Canis lupus familiaris: one gene and its partner. The protein of the gene in region 2 interacts with the protein of the main gene of each other region in a pairwise test. Links are inferred from orthologs where the notes say so. Each region holds a gene or a part of one and is shown on either strand. Other genes may lie near its edges.

The links. The genes of interacting proteins can lie anywhere in the genome.
Region 1: the proteins of MEOX2 (region 2) and PACSIN2 interact in binary tests that used the Homo sapiens proteins (3 or more experiments, as listed by UniProt). The two-hybrid records come from large-scale screens. The link is inferred for Canis lupus familiaris from reciprocal best matches to the Homo sapiens genes MEOX2 and PACSIN2.

The regions. Positions count from the first base shown.
Region 1 is NC_049231.1:23,600,400-23,603,777, reverse strand, and holds part of PACSIN2 (protein kinase C and casein kinase substrate in neurons protein 2), read right to left. Parts: intron 2,584-3,378; coding exon 2,461-2,583; intron 2,008-2,460; coding exon 1,811-2,007; intron 1-1,810.
Region 2 is NC_049235.1:30,321,146-30,324,714, reverse strand, and holds part of MEOX2 (homeobox protein MOX-2), read left to right. Parts: intron 1-514; coding exon 515-687; intron 688-3,569. UniProt on the Homo sapiens protein: Mesodermal transcription factor that plays a key role in somitogenesis and somitogenesis and limb muscle differentiation. Required during limb development for normal appendicular muscle formation and for the normal regulation of myogenic genes.

The DNA of each region.
Region 1 (3,378 bases), on a different chromosome or scaffold from region 2:
CCCTGTCTCTCTTTGGTACAGCAGCTAAAGTGAAGAGGCCTGTGGGACTGATATCCAGAGCTACTGGATTCGAATCCCAGGGCCCCTGCTCATGGGCAACATACCCTGCCCCTGGGGCCAGGTTTCCTCGTCTGCAGACCGGGTGCTGGGAGGACTAAGTGAGAGCAGGGAAGGAGCCAGGTAGTGGCCAGCACCCAGTGAGCGAGAGCCGCCATCACTCCCATGTGAGGGATGGCTTTCCTCCAGCCTCCGGGCCACTCTTTCAGCACCGGTTCCCATGCAGATCTAACTCAGCAACACCAGCAGTGAACATGGGGCAAAAGTGAGCACGGGAGGGCAAAGCTCCATCTTCTCCTGTCCATCCTGCTCACTGTGGACCCCTGGACAGTTGGTGTTTCCCTTGTCCGAGCTCTGTGACGCTCACAGGGGCTGGAAAGGGCCCAGGGAAAGGTTTCTCAGGCACCTGAGACCCAGAGGAGCAGAGGGCACTGGAGCGGGCGTGCTACCAACTGAAGAAAACAGTGCTGGCTGGGCGGATGTCGCAACAGAAGAGACAAAACACAGTGAAGAGGGGAGCTTTGAGGATGTAAAATGTGAACTGGTGATTTAAAACATTGGTTTGAATCAGTTCGCTTTTAACAATTCACTTGGAGCAAAAAGAAACATTTATATCCATAAAACTGCAGACAAATCCAACAACTAAGATGGAGAAAGAATTAGAAATTACAATGAATAAACCAACTGACGAAGTTAGGGAAGAATGACTCCCAGGTGTCAGAAAACCTGGACAAAGTCGAGTTCAGGTGCATATGAACTTCCTACAACCAACAGGGGTGCCTGGTGACCAACCCTGGGCTTGAGTGTCTGAGGCCAGCTGCCCGGCCTGTGGAGCAGGGGCGGGGGGCAGGAGGCCGATAGGCACAGACACGGCCCTCCGGCCCACAGTCGGCTGAATGCAGGGGTCTGTCCCAGTGCAGGGCGGGTGTCAGCCTGTGCGTGCTGCCTTCCAGCCCGGCCTCCCACTCAGAGGTGTGATGGCGGGTCTGGGATGGCTTTGAGGAGGGGACAAGGCAGGAGGACCTGGCTCTCTGTGGGCCCCCTCTGGCACCAGGCACCTGTGCTTCCTCCTCGGACACACTCTAACATAGTGCTTTCAAGCTAATGGTTGAAACCCATTTTAGCGAATTGCAACTAGCATAGAAAAAAAAAAAAAAAAAAAAAAAGACAAAGCCCAGAGAGTCTGTGTACACAGAGCTCCCATGATCTGGATGCAAAGTGTTCTGTAAAACGAAGTTCAGGTACTGGCAACAAAGGTGTGCCGGTAGTAGAAAGTATACCATGTGGCTGCAGGGGGAAGGCTCAAAGGCACCCAAAGATGAAGCTGAGTGGCCCAGAGGTACTCAGTGTGGTCCCGGGGTCTGGGCAAGGTGGCTCGCCAAGGGCTCCTCTGCCAGCTGGGGTCTCTGGAGAAAACCTTCCCCTGGGGACCCACAGGCTGGCTGCTTCCACCTGGGAAGCACTTGGGAAAACAGCTGGTGCTGGCGATGAACATCCCCTGCCCCAGTGCCCTGCTGTGCCCAGCCCTCCATCCTGCTGGGACTGGTGCCTTGGGCAAAAGCACCAGGGCACTCTTCATGCCTTCTAAGGTTTGGCACTGAGCATCTGCTGCTTTTGAAATGTTGGAGGACGACCCACAGATGCAGCTAGCAGGAATTTCCCAAACTTAAAAACAAAACAAAACAAAACAAAAAAAACTCCCCTAGCAGGTTGGAAGCATTCACCCCAGGTGCCAGTCGGGGAGCCCACCTACCAGCCTTGAAGCTCAGCTCATCATGCTCCTGCCCTTCGTAGTCATAAAGGGCCCGGACCCGCACTTCCGTCCCCGAGGTGGTGTCCTCGTCAAATGGGTTTGAGTCCCCATTGGCATCCGTGGAGGAGAACGGGTTGTTAGATTCATCATCCGACCAGTCAGTGGGGTAGCTCTGGGTCTTCTCATAGCTGCTCACACTGCAAGAAAAAGGGTGGACCCAGGGACCCTGAGTATGGGACTGACAGAGGCACGAGGCCCTGCCTGGAGGCTCAGCCCCTGCCCAGGGAGGCTGCAGGAGCCCCGGGGCCCGGCGAGGGACCTCCTTCCGCAAGAGCACAGCCCCTCAGCATCACAGTGCAGTCAGGCTCCCCGCAGGGCTGCCCAGCACACCCGTCTTCCTGTGGTGGTGTGCCAGGGCCTCGACGAGGGTTAACGGAGGACAGAGAAAGAACAACTACAGATTGTTAATAGGTGCCCCCCTCCCTGAGAAATCGAGAAGCCAGAGACCGTCCACCAGCCGGCAGCTGAGCCACCTCCTGCAGGCCCCATGCATTGCTGTGAGTGCCAAGGGGGCAAGAGCCTGGATAGAGAGAGAGGAGACACAGAGAGCGAGCGAGGTGGGAACCAGAGGGAAACGTTTGTTCACCAACTTTTTGGCCTTAATGTCCTCCTTCTCACTGACGGTGCTCCCCGTGTCGTCCTCATCCTCGAAGGGGTTGTAGCTGGACAGAGACTGCGCTGACCGTGCGGGGTTGCTCGGGACACTAAGGTCACTATGGGGAGAGAGAGAGCTTTCAGGGGACCCCAGCTCAGCACCCTGCTCCGGCCCTGGATGCTCCCAGCTGCAGGATCACAGGGCCAGGGGCTGAAGGGGCAGACTGGCTCCTCACCCAAGAGGAGGATTTGTCATTTGAGCAGAAAGAACATTTTAGCAAAAACACTTAGTGATATTCTGGGTGGTTAAACACATTTAAAGCGTCTAAGGAGAACAGCAGGTCCATTTCCCTTCTTGCCTGTGGGTGTGGTCTATCCTGAACAGGAGACTGGGGTGCGGACAGGCTGCCGCCGGAGCACAAGTGATGTCCGGCTTGTGGCTTCTCCCCACAGTCTTCCCATCTGGGCCTGTGGCCAGCACTGTGATGCTGGGAGCTGGCAGCCAGCCTGTGGGGCTCAGTGCCCCCCTGCTGAGAGCGAGAGGGGCTCCTGGAGCTCTCCAGACCCCACAGCGCAGCATTCCCCTCCTTCTAACTACAAAGGCTCCTAAGTCCTCCTCCCTGCTTCTTCTGGGGCTAGAGCTTCCAAAATCAGCTCCCAAACCTGCTAAACAGCCCTTTCTAAGAAAGAAGGACCCCTTTGTGCTTCAGAGAGAGAACATCCATCTGCATAACTGTATCAGCCGTCTACTGTGAGCCAGGCCCCAAGGGGATGGACCTGAGGGAGATCGGACCCAGGCCCAGCCTGAGGGCCGACAGCCAGGATGCAGTGAGTGTGCGTGCTGTGGAACAAAATAAGACGGTAAGAGCCCTGGCGCCACACCGTGCAATTCAGCTGCAAGGTGGGGCTTGTGG
Region 2 (3,569 bases):
GTCAGTAAATACACACACACTTTTATGTATGCTTTGTCTGACCTTGAACTGACTTTTATGGTCCAGTTGCTAAACATTCAAATTGCTTAAATATTCACATATTAAGTCAACACTTTTTTTCTTAGGAATTAAAGAGTTCAATCATACCTAGATCCCAAGTATACATATTAAACAACTTATTAAACGCAATTTTACATCCGAAATTGTTTTCTAGAGGTGGTTTATTTATTTATCTTTTTATCATATTAAGAGCAAATACATTTTTTGTTCATATTTTGAAAGAATATTAGACACTTTGCCAATTAGGCTGAGTCACAGGAGAGCAGATCGAAAAAGTAAGAAATGTATCTTATCCTGTTGTGAGATCAGTCTTCTGTCTTTGCTCTCTGTTTCTCCATATCTAACATAGTACCTGAAAAAGTAGTTATTCAGTAAATGCTTCTGGTATGAATGATATGATTGTATGCATTTGAATGAATAAAGTCAATTTAATTCTCTCTTACATTCCCCCCAGATTCCCAGGAAGGAAATTACAAGTCAGAAGTCAATAGCAAACCCAGGAAGGAAAGGACAGCTTTTACCAAAGAGCAAATCAGAGAACTTGAAGCAGAATTTGCCCATCATAATTATCTGACCAGACTGAGGCGATATGAGATAGCAGTGAATCTGGATCTCACTGAAAGACAGGTAAAGTTGGACATTGTTGTGATATGGTATTTTTAATTGTGTTGAGTCAACAATCTTCTCTCGCCATTTTTGAAATATCTAGATCTGTGGTTCTTAAATGCCATTTGTAAGATAGGTGTTCTGTTCCATGATGAAGTTTTGGCACGGCAAAATGGCAAAATTAAGGATAAGATAGCAGTGTTTTTAAGGAAAACTACATTTATTCAGTTTAAGGTATCATTCTTTATTCTGTATTTGTGTCCTTCCTATATATTTTGGTTTAAAATAGTATTTCTTGTATATAATGATGGCATATAGTGAGCAATTCTTTTTTGCTTATATTTTAAAATCTCCTTATTTTGGTATAATAGAAAGCCAGCAACCCCATATTAGTTTCCTCTATTGCTCAGGACAGGGTTTGCTATGTTGCTGTAACACATTAACCCCCGGACCTCCATGACATAACAAAAAAGTTCACTATTTGCTCACTCTCCATACTAACTTTACAAGTTCAGCATTATAAACAATCAGTCACTCACGGACCCAGGCTGACTCTCTGGCATCTCAACATGTGGTGTCCTTGGTAACCACAGGAGGTAAGAAAGAGGTGGAGGTTCATGCACTGACCTTTAAATGTTTTCACCCGGAAATGACCCATGTCACTTCCATTTATACTCCAAGGTCCGGAAATCATCCGTGGTGCCACTTAAGTTCAAGGGGGGCTGGGAAATGATGGGAGCAAGGGCCCATAGGTCTTTCGTAAATATTTCCCAAATATTTTTGAACTGATATTGGTCTCAAAAATTTAAATTTCTGACATTGACTCATTTAGAGAACACTTTGCAATTATGAACGATCTGTGGACTCCAGTTGATAAAACCTAAAAGGTCCTTTCTTGGATTTTACTTGCTCCAGTAGTGCTCCCAGTGCATTCTTTTTATGGATTCTGATTTGCCCTGGGAGAATCTAGCTTACTGATGGTTAACAGTTGCTAATCTTTAGGAAAACATTCCTGAAAGGCAAATCCAAACATCTTTATGGACAGTGCAGTTATGATTGGCACTCCTAGGACTAGAGTCTCATTTCCTTTCACTGTATGCACCTCCTCCAGGGATCCCATCAGAACCAAAGAAATACCAACAGGGTGTGGACGTATGAATACTATCTTAGGAGAGCAAGTTATTTTATCCAGTTTCTTAAATCATCTGCTTTCCTTCTGTTAATTTCTGGATTTCAGCTTTTGTAGGGTATTTCTGGGGATTGGGAATATAGAGAGAGACACTTTTATGTGGTTTTATTTATTGGCAGTTTATATTTTATTAAATATTATGACTAGTGCCTAAGTTGTGAAGCACAACATTTTCTTTCCCTTGAACTTCACAGACAAACTCCTCTCCATAAGTGTACAACATTTGGCATGCTGGAAAGGAGAATCCAAAATCTACATTATTGGACATCTGTTTTATTTTCATTTTTTTTAAACTGGGAGCAGATAAAAAAAGAAGGGAGGGAAAGAATTACATATTTTAATGTTCTTATCCATAGACAGTGAATTCTAGGAAATGCAACCATGTTTTCTATGGTACAAAAAGGAAACAAGCTAAGACTTGTTTCCAAGCTATAGAAATAATGGGATGCAGTACTATACTCTTAGCCAAGAGGGAATGTGAAGATTCTGTGCTTGCTATTCTGGGGATGGCTTTGGTTACCTGTGATTATCTGATTATAAAGCAGAAGTTTCCCTTATGGTTTAAAATAATTTCTTTTAGAAAAGCAATTCTATAAATTTGGTCTGGCAATTTTTTAGGTATTTTGGATATGTCTTCCTGAGTTGTCATTTATGGAAAAGGATGATATGTAATTTTAAGCAAAATACACACACATACAATTCTAATCTTTGTTTTTGTTTATCAAAGGTCCCTTTTCAATTTTGTTATCAGTTAGCCTTGACTATGTAACAAACATTCAAAAATCATAGTGGTTTCAACTAATAACCGACATTCAATTTGCTCACAGTTTTGTGGGTCGGGGATTTTGACTGGGCTCAGTTGGATGGTTAAGCTGCTTACCTTACCTAAATCTCCCATAGAGCTGTAGTCACGTGGCGGGTTTGGGTTTGAAGAGCTGGTTGGTTTAAATAGTCTCAGCTGGGACATTTGTCTCTGTTGTATGTGGTTTCATTTTCTTCTAATAGGCTCTCTGAGACTTTTCAAATGGGGATAGAAGCATTGTCAGGAATAGAAGAAAAACTCCAATGGACCAAGGCTTTCAAGGACTCTCGTTATCTCATATTTACTGATGACTCATTGTCTAAAGCAAGTCATATGACCAAGCACAGTGTCAATGTAGAAGGAGACCATTTAAGGAATGGATATATGGAAGGAAGGTGACATTTGCTGGAGGCCGTTACCGAAATGATCTAACTATAGTGTCATAGGGGAAAAAACAAACAAACAAATCTTGAGATATAATTGGATTTTGAAAGAATTGAAATTTTATATCGTGAAGATTTTTTTATCCTATAAATCTTTATTTCCAGTTTTTCAGATTAATATGAAAAGGAGATGCATACATGTGGAATCTAAATTCCTAGTCAAAGTTAAGTCTTCAGAGGGCCACTATGTGACAGTGAGAAAAATTGAATTATTATGATAAAAATTTGAATAGAACAACTAGATTTTCCATTGGAATTTGGATTCTTAGGCAAGTAACAATCTCCCTAAGTCACAAAATGGAAATTAAAGCTAACTTCTCTTGCTTCTACTCAGGTTTATGTGTTATAATGAATATGAAAGAATTTCTAGCATAAACTGAAAAACACAACTGTCAATCAGAGGAAGGAAAACTTTTTGCCATTCAAGGCATAGTGAATTAATTATTTTGTAGCACAAATATTTGTTGAG